4 linked regions of the Rattus norvegicus genome follow. Each later gene encodes a partner of the first gene's protein in a complex. Links are inferred from orthologs where the notes say so. Each region holds a gene or a part of one and is shown on either strand. Other genes may lie near its edges.

Region 1 (4,093 bases):
CTTTATCCTTTGAAAGATCAGGCCTGCTTTGATTGCAAAGGCTGTGTATTTTCTACTAGGCCACAGAGTTTCCCAATAATTAGTTAACTGACAGTTTCCTCGGTAGCATCCCTCCGGCCACACGTGGAGATACTTTCTGCCTGGGATTACCACGGTTAAATGGAAAAGCTAATTTTCAAAATAAATAAATAATTTTCAGCTCATAACTCTAGTAGTGAAACTGCTTGATAAATAAGCATTCCATCACATTCAGACCCAATGTGTGCCTGTTCCTGAGCCTCAGTTTGTTCTTCTTAAGGTTAGATTACCTCACTCTCCGTTACCTGTCTTTACCCACTCTCTCCTATCTTTTTTAAACTCATTACTTGAAAGCTGGAAGGCCAAGGCTTAAAAGCCCAAGCTTTTGAGTAGCAGCAACCCAGCTTTAATTATGGTTCTGATTTGTAAGCTTGTGAATTTTAGATCACTTAGCTTCTCCACCTTTCAGCTTTGCTTGTATTAGTGTGAGCACGCATGCACATGGACAGAGAGTATATATGTGCTTGAGTAATTCTATCTGTATGATGAAGCGTTTACCTCAGGTCAGTCAGTAGCTCTCATATGCCCTTCTCCTTAGCAGGATATCCACCTGGCTTTGCATTAATTACTTCCTTCATTGGGCCTGGCTTTCTAAACTACTGATTCATTCTCTTCCTGACCTGTCAACACTGGTGTTGACTAAGACTCATTTTACTCCTAGGAATCCCATCCTTGTCCTTGTTATTATGCATTATTGCCAAATTTCAATTCTTAAAAATTTGATTTTTGTGTGTTTATACTTAAACAACTAATAGGCATCTTAGACATGTATAAAACTTAACTCCTGATTTTCTTCTTTACACTGACACCCCCCCCCCCCCGCCCCCAAGTGGCTACTGTTGCTTCCATTTTCAAACTTTATCTGGGATGTGAATGCTTTACACCAGTCCCATGGCCACCACAACTCACCCATGCACTGTACTGTTTCTGTAGTGAACCACTGAACCAATCTCTTGTTCCCCTGTCCCCCCACAGCTTACACAAAACACAGCAAGTAAAATGATCCTTTAAGATAAAAGGAGGGTTCTGTCACTTTGTTTAAAACCTTCAGGGCAGTGGTTCTGACTTGTGAGCATAACTCCCAGAAGACTACTGGAAAACACCGATGTTTATATTACAATTCACTTGCTACATAACAGTAGCAAAATTGCAGTTATGAAGAAGCAACAAAATAATTTTATGGTCGGATAGTCACCAAACCTTGACAAACTGTTATTACAGGGTCACAGTATTAGCAAGGTTGAAAAACTGCAGCTGCAGGGCTGGGGCTGTAGCTCAGTGATAAAGTGGGTGCCTAGAACGTGTGAAAGTTCTGGGTTTGATGCCCAGCACAGCAAAATGGTGCTAGAAGTGTTAGGCCAAAATCCTTAATGGTGGGCATTAGGCCTTGTATGATGTGGCTGTGTTGCTCTCTATCATAAACTCAGGATTTGGTAACTTCTCTGTTCCAAAAATCCCAGCCTCTTGGCTAATCCTTGAACACATCAAATTGGTTTTTTACATTTGTGGCTGTTCTACTGTTCTTTCTGGTCAGAAAATATTATTGTCTCTTCCTAGATCCAACAAGTAAGTGCTGTGATAAGACGCCAAATGCAGAACCCTGAATCTGGAAATGTACTGAAAGCTGAAAATACAAACAGCCTTAGTCTGTGGCCCAGCCAGGACCTAATAGTAACTGCTGGCTTTTAAAACATTACAAATAACAAGGAAGTTGCAATTGAAAAAGTTTCAGTTTGCAAGTATAGTATGATTCAAAGAAGTTCCCAATACTCTTCCAAATTTAGGAGATACCCACATGGGCACACACAAGAATGGATTTGTTGATGCCTTCCAGAGTGAACCAGAGATTCAACCCCTTGGGAGTGCTTAGTATAGTCTCTCTGTAATGAAGCCAAGCACAGACCACATTACAGGAGATTGTCACCTTCCTCCTAGGTTTAAAGAGCAGATTCTCAGATTCCTTCAAAGAGCAATGGTTTTAATCCTCTCAATTCTTATAGAGAATTTTCTACAAGGGTGCTTAATGAAATCTAGGTTAAATTACAAGGCAAATCTTAGGTTAGGTTTGCTTGAGTGTATCGTGTCTCTGCCTGTATGCTATATAAATACTCTGCTCTATGAAGAGTTTTGTGGTTTTAAGAATGTATGGTAGAAAAGAGTATCAGGAGTAAGCAGCCCCACTGTCTGGTTGGTATCTGATTGGCATAGTTGGTAATACAATGTAAGTACAAGTTAGTAACACAGTTATTCTGTTAGCTAGTAAGAGTGATGAGGTAACAGATTGACGAATTCATGTCAGGAGATGAGCTGAAACTTCTGAACCACAAGGAAGGTTTGCTAATGATTTTTCCATTTTAGATTTTGTGATGATTTCTGTTTCATAAGGCGGCTTTTCTACAGCAGTGAAGTTAAAAATGGAGCACAAAAAGAGGCTGGGGGAATTGCAGAGTACATGAGCTTGGACAATGGGATTCCCCTTGTTCTTTACTAAAGGAGGTCTCCAGAGCTTACTGTGCCATTTTGCTTTATGAGTACCTGTGGCAAACGTTTAGGGTTTCCCCAACTTTTTTCACGTTTTACTTGTGAGGAACACCCTCCAGGGACCAGTGCTTTATGAAAGAGAATTAATTTGGAGAAGTTAATGGAATGAAATATGAATTATGGTGAGAGAGAAATACCTAAGTAACATTTCCTTATCTCCTTGGTCAAAAAACCATTTAGCCCTTCAGTGGTCAACAGAAGGGACTTTATCATGGGAATATATAATTGCTGCCATGAAATAATGGTTTTGGTTATTTTACCCTAGACTTGGAGTGGAAAATTATCTACGTGGGCTCTGCTGAAAGTGAAGAATACGATCAAGTTTTAGACTCTGTGTTAGTGGGTCCTGTTCCTGCAGGCAGGCATATGTTTGTGTTTCAGGTAAGACTGATTTCCATATATGAATACAGAGGATTCATATTGGAGTATATTCAGGGGTGTCATTGAGATTACTTTTGGGAACTAGACAGACTACAAGTATGCTGTGTGTACAAGGTTGAGTTTGTCCTGTGGGACTGTCTTTCAGGATGAAAGTATCCCCAAACACATTCAAATGGTGCTCTGGTCAGCACCATGCATGCATCTGCGGGTGGGATAGAACAACCTTATTTTGGTAGAGTCAGCAACTGCAAGGCGAAGAAATGTGTTAGCAGATAGAGACGTATGACTTGAGCCATTGGAATGACAGTCTAACACTTCACTAAAGCTTTAGTCTAGGTTTGATAGAGGAGCACTGGGACAAATCCATCCCCCGTTAGAGCTTGTGAGGAGAAACACTCTTAGTGTAAATCCTGTTCTCAGATGCCTCGGACAGTGTTCAGGACTTTGCCCAAGCTTTAGACAGTATCTTTTGTGAAAGAGTGTTATTTCTCCTGCTTTATTAAGTTGCTACATAAAACTAGTCATGTTTTCAATTATCCATGCTTCTTAGAGGGAGATATTTGTAATACTGCAAGGAGTAATAAGCTAGCTTTTAATTTTTGTTCGAAGTATTTCTGCCTAACCAAATCTTACTGCAGGCATAATCCAAGAGAAAAGTCTACTTCTTCCTGCACCTGGCCTCTGTTTCTCCCTTCACAGAGAGGACAATTTCAATGAATCCTCTCTTTGAAATAATTCCGGGGGTTGGGGATTTAGCTCAGTGGTAGAGCGCTTGCCTAGCATGCGCAAGGCCCTGAGTTCGGTCCCCAGCTCCGAAAAAAAAAAAAAAAAAAAAAAAAAAGAAACAATTCCCTTAGTAATGGGCAAGGAGTTGCTTAAGTGTTAGAGATGCCGCCTCTTAAATACAGAACTGAATCTGGCCTGAATGTTTTCTATTAGGAAACCCCAAATAACTTATTGTATATAAATAAATGGCTAAGAAAGGCTCAGCATCAGTAATTTAAAGGCTGTGATACTTTAATTAAAAGTGTCATGAAACTGAGTTGTGAGTGTGCATAGCCTTGTGAGAGCCATAGCAACACAACACAGCTGC
Region 2 (2,815 bases), on another chromosome or scaffold:
CGTGCATTCCGGTTAGTTCTTTCTGAAAGTGAAGCCATTTTCCCTGTCACTGTGTCCATAGCTGGCACTAGTGCCAGGATGCCCCGGTTCCCGGGCACCACCAATGGACTACCCATGTCCTCCGGTTGATGTAGCGCCTCCCCGCGACCGCACCCCTGGGCTCTGTTTAAACTACACGTATATGTTTAGAAGCAAAACACCATGATTGTCAGTGCATTCTGTTTTGTTTTGTTTTTTAAACCAAGTCCGTAAGGATGCACCGCAGTTTGATTTCTTTCCTTTACTGGACTCACGTTTTTGAAATTATGTGGATGACCTCTGAATTATGTGGATGACCTCTGACGTGGTCTAAGTAACTAACCATTATTACTATTGTTTGATGTCCAGATTGTGACCTTTGGGAGATCCTTGAATACAACCCATGCCATCCTTAAAATCTTTGCTTCAGAAATCTTTTATGATTTTTTTCAGATCTAAAGGTGCTTTATTTTGTTTGATAAAGTGTACACTAAGCCTCAAAATTGTTATCTTTCTGTTCAGCCACCGAGTGCTGAGGTTATAAGCATGGGCCACTGTCCTTTGAGTCATTTCTTTCTTTCAGATTTTTTTTATTAATGCATGTTAACTGTGCTTAGTAATGGCTTTCATTTTGATAACTTTACACACACAATCTTTGTTCATATCTGCACACACATCAGCTCTCCCCTTTTCCCTCTTCCCTCTGGTCACCTTTCTCTCCATAAGTACCCATCCCCATTTTTATGATTAAAAAAAAAAATCTAGCTTCCACATGCTAGAGAACCCATGCCATGCATTTCTTCCTGGATCCGGCTTACTTAACTCTGTGATCTTGAGTTCTTCCCATTTTTCCGGCAAATAACATTTTATTTTTTCATTTTTCTTTTATTGAACTTTTCTAATTCTACCCCCCCATTTTAAAAAAAAGTGCTTTAATATGTAACCCCAGTTAGCCTCAAACACACAGATATACACCGTTCTCTGCCTCCCAAGTCCTAGAATTAAGCTTAACTTCCGAGCTACCTCCCTCCAGCCCTCACCCATGTCCACGCCACCCCAGGGGTGTCCTTAAACCAGGTGGGGTTTTTTTGTTTGTTTGGTTGGTTGTTTGTTTGGTTGGTTGATTGGGGGTTTTGGGGGGGGGTGTTCTTGTTTTAGTATTCCAGAACTCAGGAAAACTATGCCTTGCTGCAGAAAGGTTCTAGAATGTTCTTTGTGTCTTGGGGTCGAGGCAATGTTGGGTTTTTTTTGTTTGTTTGTTTGGTTTTTTGTTTTTTTGTCTGTTTGGGTTTTATTTCTTTAAACAACAACAACAACAAAAGGCTCTGAGAAAACAACTTGAGTTTTTCTACAGTCCCCACTGCATTCCTACCGAGCCTCAACTAACGGCTCTGGAAGCCACACCGCTCAGAGAGAATGTAAGAGGCAGGGTGTAAAGTAGAGACCCCAGTAGACCAATCAGAGTGCAGCATCCCATAATGCCACCTGGCGGGCAACCAATAGGAATGCAGCTGGGTCTATAAAAGCTGCGGTGCTCGCCACCCTCTGCACCTGAGGAGAGGAGGGAATACGGCCCAGGAAGATGGCACGCACCAAGCAGACAGCACGGAAGTCGACGGGAGGCAAGGCTCCACGCAAGCAGCTAGCCACGAAGGTGGCACGCAAGAGCGCTCCAGCCACCGGCGGCGTGAAGAAGCCGCACCGCTACCACCCTGGTACTGTGGCATTGCGAGAGATCCGGCGCTACCAGAAATCCACCGAGCTGTTGATCCGCAAGCTACCGTTCCAGCGCTTGGTCCGTGAAATCGCCCAGGACTTCAAGACCGACTTGCGCTTCCAGAGCTCGGCTGTAATGGCGCTGCAGGAGGCCTGCGAGTCGTACCTCGTGGGGCTCTTCGAGGACACGAACCTGTGCGCTATCCATGCCAAGCGGGTTACCATCATGCCCAAAGACATCCAGTTGGCTCGGCGCATACGCGGAGAACGGGCTTAGACCTCCACAGGCACTGCTCATCAACCAACCCAACGGCTCTTTTCAGAGCCACCCACAGATTCGGAAAACAGTGTTGTAACCAAGATTTCTTTGATCTCCTTCACTTCTGGAGATCAAGACACAGTGGCTGGGGATCCAAGTGGCTTCCCAGGGATAGGGTTAGCGAGGTCAGCAGCTGATCCTTGCCCTGTGGGCTGTTCAGCTTAAAGTACATCCCATTCTAACCTGCCTTCTCTTAACAGGTATCGTGGCCTGAGCCTTTGTAGTGCAACGTTAATAGCTGTATTGGTGACTGTCCTTGTCCAATGAAGGCAGGAGCCCAGCTCCTACGGGTAGTAAACATACTGTCACAACTATAGTGTTCGCATGGTGGATAGTACCCAAATGCGTCCACAACAGTTATCAATCAAGTAAGTTTTGTTAATTGCCTAGTGTTTTGAGTCAGATTTGGCCTGAAGTTAAAAAGGCTAGCTGTTCCTGTGCCTTAAAAGTTAACTTTGCCCGTCTGTTACAGCGGTGGCAGAAGTCAGGGAAATGCTAACTTACATAATTCCAGGGGACACATCCAGAAAATTCTGTATTAGAGGATTCCTGTAGGGTAGGAAAGCCCAGCTATTGTATTGACTCAACCTGATTGGTAAGCAATAGGAACCTCTTATCAAGAGGATGTTTTGCCCTGTAGTTTAATTCTCTGGGTGTTAGTATATTGTCCCTACAAAGAGCTGGTGGTGTTCTGAGATGACAGGCATGGAGACTAACCTGCTTGCTTACTCAGAAATCAAACTGAGAGCCTGGTTAGCTGAA
Region 3 (4,093 bases), on another chromosome or scaffold:
GTGATTAAAAACAGAAAGAAAATGAAAAAAAAAATGGTGGGAAAATTTCACATGAACTTTCAGTGTGCTCTCTATGCTAGCCAGCCTAGAACAGCAATTTCAGGAAGGTGGGGGTGGGGGAGATCTAAAGAAAGCATTCTGGGAATCAAAAGTGGTGCCACAGCGCCACCTACAACAGGAAAGTGTAGTGACTTTAGAAACAGACCAGTGAGTGGTCACAGCCAACAGAAGAGGAAGGCCAAGCTACAGCTCCACAGAAAAGAAGATGACAAGCACACACATTTAAACAAACTAAAAGCCACCTAACAAAAACAAAAGGTAAGGAGGAAAAAGCTTCTTGCCTTTTCCTGATGCCTACCAAGCTAAATGATAATTATATAAAACTGCTCAGGTCTTGAGGAAATGAGGCATATGTGTACTTATCAGGGAGACCTGAGATAAACTACTGCATATGCGAATAATGGGACAAAGCCAAAATGGAACTTGCCAAAACAGTTGTCCCTAAATGACATCATTCATGTTCCTTGTTCAACACACAAAGGTACTGTTTCTCCAGAGAATTTCATCTAACTCATTCACCCACCCACCTATCCACCCACCCCCAGCACCAGGCAGCCCAGGACTCCTTTCTTCTCACTCCTGCCCAGGCATCCACAGTGATGTACTGTTGGGTCTTCATAGCTCCTGTCAAATTCTTAACAAACTTAAAGGTCACTTAAAAGACACAAAGTCAGCCATACCTGGTTTGAGGTCATAGTGTATGATGGGAGGTTTTATTTCATTTAAGTACTTTAAAGCATTCACAATCTGCATAATAATGGATCGGGCTTCTTTCTCCGACATTAATTTGTGCTGCTTTAGGTAGAAGTCCAGATCATTTCCTTCACAGTATTCTAATACTGTACAAAACCTGAAGACACATAAACCAGCATTTAACAGTGGAGTAGAAAGCAGATTAAAACTATCTAAACCACTCTCAGTGAAAACTCAGGTATTACAGCTTCTATTCCTTTCTTCTTTGTTCCCAAAACACTCTTCTATTCTGCATCAGCCGCCAAAGCTTATAGGAGGTGAGGTAACTGCTCTCTTGGAGATGAGCTTCTGCAATCTCCATACTGGCATCAACTGTGCCAAAGTTCACTATGGCATAGTTCTTCTAAGAACACTGACAAGAACTATAATGTGTGAGCTAGCCATCCTCTTATAGCAGGGTCTCCTTTGAATACCCTTAGCACATGTCCATTATTATACAGTGATCAATCACACGATTATCCTTGCATGTGTCTATTAAAACCGAATGCATACACTAAGGAAGAGTCTAGGTTCTGCCCATGTCTCAAGAACTGGTTGTATACTATGTCTGGCAAAAGGTTACACAAATGTGTTCCATATGGTATGAATTCTTTTACTCATATTTATGTCAATATATCATTCATTCCCCATTTAAAACTGCACACCATTGTTGGTACTACAAGTAACGCATCTATCCCCCCGACTATTCAAATTGATGTTTCCTTGTATTTTTTGAATATTCCTGAGAGATAAAAATACTTTAAAAAATATTTTTAGGTTATGGTTTCTCAGTCAGGACTTAACCAGGGAATAAAAACCACTTGAATATTGAAGACAGAGGCTTTGATTCGTATGCTGAAGATCTAAAAGGACAAACTGTCCAGTAAGACACCCTAGTGACCAGTTACAGCAGGAAGCTGTTAGCAGCTTAAAACCAGAGGGTCAGAGGATGAAGGTGGTGCTATGAGAAATCAGGTCACAAGGGAAACCAGAGCTGTGTGCATACCCACTAGGTCAACCCAGCTGAACACCCACTGACAAGGCTTACCAGAGATGCCTCCCAATGCAGTGGAATGAGGGGTAGCGGTGAGCAGCTATAAGCTGAACTTCAAGCCACCCTGCAACTGACTACAAAAACACACTTGCAGAATCTCAGGACTGAACAATAAACTATACTTTTTATGACACCTAAAAGGCATGCCAATGCTCTGGGAGCCTGTTCAAAATGCTCATTCTTATCTGAGATGCTGAAATGAGTCAGACCCTCTTCTTGGATACATGTCTACACATGGGCTGCTTGTCTGAGAGAGCTTCCAGGTGGATAGACCAAACTCCTGGACATCCTTTGGAGACTGAGGTACCATCTACAGGCCAGGCCTAAGGGATCTTATGCTCTTCTGACTCAGGCCTATCTGCAACTAAAAGTTTCCAAACACTGAAATATCCCTAAGCCCCGAATAAACCCAAATGCGCTGCAGTTTACTGAGTTTTGGTATCAAGAGGACCAAAATCTCACACAAATAATTTTGTTTTTCTGATACTCCAAAAGGCTGAACCCTAAGACCCCCTCCCAATTCTAAAATCCTATTGCCCAGGAACCTGTATTCCAACCTGCAGCACTGGGCTCTCTTTACTTTTGTCACGTAAACCTTCCTGCTTTAGGACACTGTGGTACTTAAGGCTGGCTGGGCTCCTCAGTCTCCAGAGTGGGGCTGAGGCTCTCTTCAACAGTCTATACTCACGATCACTAGGCCTGCTAGTGCCATGACAGCACCAGCCTGAACCAGTTCCTAGGTAAGGACTGACTGCTACGCTTTCAGGAACACTGTGAGCTGGGCTAGACAACTCTATGTAAGACTAAGAAGAATTGATAAATCTGGCTGTAAGAAGGGATAAACAAATAAGGACAACAGACACACACATGGATGGATAAGCATCATGTTAACTGAAATAAATCAGTTACAAAGGACCACATACTACATGATTCCACATGTGAGACTGTTCCCAACACCATTTCTAAGGTTACAGATAGCAGTGTCTGCTTAAACAGAGGGAGAGTAAAATGGAGAAGTGACAGTAAAAAGGTTCAGGTTTCTTCTGAGAGTGAAAACGTCAAAATGATTTTGGATAATGTCCATATAGATCTGTGACACACATGAAAACCCACTCAATTGTGATGGATGAATCTTATGGTATATAAATTAGAATAAAGTTCGCTAATTTTTTAAGTTGGTATCTTAACATTGGACATAATGGAAATATTTATGCCACAAATACTGACAATCACCTTAACTTTCTGTCAAGACAGTTTTTACCAGCATACAAGTGTCCTTATCCTTTAGTCAAGAGATGTCTGGCTGATCCAAATCTGAATTGTTATAAATATTTGCCTGTAAATTATCAGATCTAAGCTCCAGTCCACAAGGATTCATTATGTCAAGAAGATAAAGTAAGGGGAAGGGGTGGGACTTACGAGTCAGTGTCCAGTGAAAAGTAATCATACAGCTTCACTATTCTGGGGTGATCCAGTTCTTTGTGAATCCGGTATTCCCTACACGCATGCCTGTAAACACAATGGAAGCGTAAAAAGCAAGCATTGGCCTGCTGGTCAGAACTTACCCTCACTTCTCTAGCACTTCCCACTCCCACAGGTCCACTCTTTGCTCCATTTAGAGGCATCTGGTCAACCCACCTAATCACTCTCATCAGTCTACTTCCACTCATCTTTTCTATCTATTGCCACTGAGAAAGTAGTAGGTGCTCAAATATTTTTTTTTAAAAAGTATTTTCTTTTACATTTACTTATTTTATGTATGTGAGTACACTGTTACTCTCTTCAGACACACCAGAAGAGCGTATGGGATTCCATTACAGATGGTTGTGAGCCACCATGTGGTTCCCATGTGCTGGGAATGAACTCAGGGCCTCTGAAAGAGTAAGTAGTCCATGTGCTTATTAATCTCTGAGCCTCACTCCAGCCCTCAAATATTTCTTAAATGAACGGATGCCAACTCTTCTGTGACAACCACACCTCTTTTATGCTAATCCCCAACACTAAAAATTAGTCTTCTCTCCTATAGTGATGCTTCCAAGGACTGGGGAGATGGTATAATGACTAAGTGCTTGCTTGCTATGCAAGCATGGGGATCAGAACATGGACCCCAGCACCTCTGAAAATTCTGAGTGGGCATGGTAGTCCATCTGTATAGCAGCTTGGGAAGATGGTCACAAGTTCTGGGACCGACTGAGACCCTGTCCCTAAGGTGGACGAGTGGTGAAGGATTACTGACATTGGCTTCTA
Region 4 (2,772 bases), on another chromosome or scaffold:
TTTTTATTGTTTTCTTCCACATCCATGCAAAAGCAGATTCCCTTTGTCTCAATTTCCTCCTCGGGGCAGCTTTCTTTTCTTTTCTTTTCTTTTGTGTGTGTGTGTTTATTTGTAAATAGTTTATAATCATTTATTTTATTTTTTTATTATTAGGGGGGAGTTCAAGACATTGTTTCTTTTTTTTTTTTTTTAACATTTATTTATCATGTATACATCATACAGCTTTCTTGCCTGCATGCCAGAAGAGGGCGCCAGATCTGATTATAGGTGGTTGTGAGCCACCATGTGTTGCTGGGAATTGAACTCAAAACCTCTGGAAGAGCAGACAGTATTTTTAACCTCTGAGCCATCTCTCCATCCCAAAACATTATTTCTCTGTGTAGCCAGAACTCTCTCTATATAGCTGGAACTTACTCTGTAGACCTGGCTGACCTGAGATCCTCTACCCCTGCACCTCTGCCTCTGCCTCCTGAGTGTTGAATTGCTTTTAACAGCATGTTGAGCCATTATCTCCAACTCTGTTATCTCCAGCTCTGTCCTTCGAGATGTCTACTCTTGGGACTACTGTACAGTCCTCAGTCTCTACTGTTAGGACTACTATATGATCCTGACAACTTTTGACTTTCTCTGTGGTGTTTTGCAGTGGGACCTGCTACTGTTCTTACTCCGGGAGCTGGTAGAAAAGGATCTCATGGGGCATTTGGAAATAGAAGCCTGCTTAGTCAGCCTTAATGAAGCCCAGTGGCCAGGGGTAAGGAATCTTAATGTTAATCCCTTTGTCTTGAAGATATGTCTCATTTGTCCTAAAGATTGCTTTTGTAGCCCACAAACCACAAACTTGCATTCTTTCTACTTGCTGGGAATGAGATTCTAACTGTGAGCCCACCATAGCTACAGCTATGTGCCTTTTTGCCAAAGTGTTTCCAGGACTACCACGAGACCATGTATTGGGTTTGATCTAAGTGACTACTTTGTAAGACTCTCAGAAGAACAGAGGGAAAGGAGGACAATTAGAAATAGGCATGGCACAGTGAATATTGGGGATTTGAAACTCAAGTAAATGTTGGCTTATATTTAAAATGCTCTTGTGATTTAGAGCAAAATAGTGCTGTTAAAATAAGATTAATACTTTGTGCTTGAAAATGTTAAAGCCTCTGCTTCTTAATAGAGTCCACTTTCCCTGCTGGAACTTAATGCCTCAGTTTACCAGCCATGGAGGTTTATATCCATTTCTGCAGAGAAGACATTAGATGAAATAGCTGGGTTATCAGTGTTTCACTGGCTGTGAGTGATTATTCGGGTGGGACTGACCTTAGAAAGGACAGAACATCCAGAATTACTTTTCTTAACCTTTCTACTTACTTTAGGACTTCTCAGAAGAATTGTCAACACTATTTCGCTTGTTCCTAGCTGAGCCCCATCTGCTAGAACCCCAGCTGAGAGCTTGTGAACTTATGCAACCAAATCGAGGGACAGTGCTAGCCCAAAGCTAGGGCTGGGAAGCAGCCCTCTTGGGCAAGTCACCAGAACCTGCCTCCTGAGCCTCAGGAGGAGGCTCAAGAACCCACTGCACGCCCTGCTGGGGCAAGAGTGTCCAGGTGTGTAATCGGGCTTGCTGCTCTGCTCCTAAGTGAAGGAAGTGTGTTGCTTCAAGCATCCAGATGCAGGCCTCAACACCTGAGATCTAGAGGAAGGAGAACCTGATTCAGAGTCACAGTGGAAAAGCCCAGAGACTCTAACCTTGGAGCAAAAGGGCTAGCATTTCTAATCCAGATGCTAAAAGAAATGCGTGTGCTGATCAATGTTATTTCGAGCCTCAAGTTGCTGCTATCCCAGCATCTCTTGAAACTTTGTGGTTCTGAGAAATCTTAATAGGCAAAGAACTTCTGCTTATGAGAACATTGACAAAACATTTTCTTGAGTCCAGAAGCTGGACTGTCACCCCTACCCCCAAATATTGGCAGCCAATAAGGTAGGAATCACCTAAGTGGAACTTGGTCTCATATGGACCTTCGCCTCTTTGCAGGGAGTTAGTCAGACTAAGCCTGGTATAGAAAATTTAAGGGGCTTGGGTTTGTTTTTTTTTTTTTTTTTTTTTTTTAAATAAAATTTCTAACAAGGTCTTGATGGCTATTCTCCCCTCTGAAGTGGGCTTTGTGCATTGCAGTGTGTGCTTCTTCACGGTGTCTGCATTCTGTCAGTCTGAGAGACACAATCTGCTACTCTCCATGTGCTCCCTGCTGTCTATGCCGACCCACATGGCAGGTAGCTTTGGTGATATTTGTACTGTAGGCACTGGGATGTCTGATTTAACTCAAAACTTCTGACCAAAAGCAGTCTTCTGGGTTATAGTTAGCAAGACCTCATTTCTATAAATGGGGTGACGTTTTTATTATACTCAGAGTGTCTGCACTCAAGTGCTATGGCGCACTTCTGGAAGTTGAAGGACAACTTGCTGGAGTCAGTTCTCATTTTACCATGTGGATCCAGGGCTCAAATTCAGGTCACTGGGCTTAGCCTTCAGCTATTTTGACAGCCCCTGTAACCAGCTGATTTTTAAGGGGGTTTTGTTTTGTTTATCAACACAGGGTTTCTCTTTGTAACCCTGGCTGTCCTGGAACTCACTCTATATACCAGGATTGCCTTAAACTCATAGAGCTCTGCCTGCCTCTACCTTCCAAGTTCTGGGATTGAAGGCATGTGCCCAAAGATGACAGTATTTTGAAAATGTGATATATCCCTGTAAAACTATTTTTCTGTTTGTTTGTTTTG

The links.
Region 2: the proteins of Asf1a (region 1) and H3f4 are in contact, whole or in part, in a crystal structure (PDB 8Z50), measured with the Homo sapiens proteins. The link is inferred for Rattus norvegicus from reciprocal best matches to the Homo sapiens genes ASF1A and H3-4. Residues at the interface, in NP_054753.1 of Homo sapiens: Val45, Ala48, Glu49, Glu51, Asp54, Val92, Thr93, Val94, Leu96, Arg108, Gly110, Tyr111, Tyr112, Asn114, Glu116, Leu140, Asn143, Arg145, Thr147, Phe149; in NP_003484.1 of Homo sapiens: Asp107, Leu110, Cys111, His114, Lys123, Gln126, Leu127, Ala128, Arg130, Ile131, Arg132, Gly133.
Region 3: the proteins of Asf1a (region 1) and Tlk2 are in contact, whole or in part, in a crystal structure (PDB 7LO0), measured with the Homo sapiens proteins. The link is inferred for Rattus norvegicus from reciprocal best matches to the Homo sapiens genes ASF1A and TLK2. Residues at the interface, in NP_054753.1 of Homo sapiens: Val45, Ala48, Glu49, Glu51, Asp54, Asp88, Val92, Thr93, Val94, Leu96, Arg108, Gly110, Tyr111, Tyr112, Arg145, Thr147, Phe149; in NP_001271262.1 of Homo sapiens: Arg11, Arg12, Gln13, Leu15, Leu16, Glu17, Arg19, Phe20, Thr21, Gly22, Val23.
Region 4: the proteins of Asf1a (region 1) and Cdan1 are in contact, whole or in part, in a cryo-EM structure (PDB 9CVC), measured with the Homo sapiens proteins. The link is inferred for Rattus norvegicus from reciprocal best matches to the Homo sapiens genes ASF1A and CDAN1. Residues at the interface, in NP_054753.1 of Homo sapiens: Gln5, Val6, Asn7, Asn8, Val9, Val10, Val11, Leu12, Asp13, Pro15, Asn20, Pro21, Phe28, Asp37, Val45, Ser47, Ala48, Glu49, Ser50, Glu51, Glu52, Asp54, Asp58, Ser59, Val60, Leu61, Val62, Gly63, Pro64, Val65; in NP_612486.2 of Homo sapiens: Arg195, Arg196, Ile197, Asn198, Thr200, Val202, Lys390, Leu391, His470, Glu471, Glu472, Pro473, Gly474, Trp475, Asp476, Lys538, Arg541, Arg544, Leu545, Gln546, Arg548, Leu549, Met550, Ala551, Pro552, Gln553, Ser554, Ser555, Arg806, Lys807.

The regions. Positions count from the first base shown.
Region 1 is NC_086038.1:33,439,173-33,443,265, forward strand, and holds part of Asf1a (histone chaperone ASF1A), read left to right. Parts: intron 1-2,884; coding exon 2,885-3,000; intron 3,001-4,093. UniProt on the Homo sapiens protein: Histone chaperone that facilitates histone deposition and histone exchange and removal during nucleosome assembly and disassembly.
Region 2 is NC_086028.1:44,238,777-44,241,591, forward strand, and holds H3f4 (H3.4 histone), read left to right. Parts: upstream 1-1,505; 5' UTR 1,506-1,600; coding exon 1,601-2,011; 3' UTR 2,012-2,066; downstream 2,067-2,815. UniProt on the Homo sapiens protein: Core component of nucleosome. Nucleosomes wrap and compact DNA into chromatin, limiting DNA accessibility to the cellular machineries which require DNA as a template.
Region 3 is NC_086028.1:90,732,925-90,737,017, reverse strand, and holds part of Tlk2 (serine/threonine-protein kinase tousled-like 2), read right to left. Parts: intron 3,356-4,093; coding exon 3,266-3,355; intron 911-3,265; coding exon 741-910; intron 1-740. UniProt on the Homo sapiens protein: Serine/threonine-protein kinase involved in the process of chromatin assembly and probably also DNA replication, transcription, repair, and chromosome segregation. Phosphorylates the chromatin assembly factors ASF1A and ASF1B.
Region 4 is NC_086021.1:128,129,023-128,131,794, reverse strand, and holds the end of Cdan1 (codanin-1), read left to right. Parts: exon of another isoform or gene 1-643; coding exon 644-751; exon of another isoform or gene 752-1,367; coding exon 1,368-1,493; 3' UTR 1,494-2,131; downstream 2,132-2,772. UniProt on the Homo sapiens protein: May act as a negative regulator of ASF1 in chromatin assembly.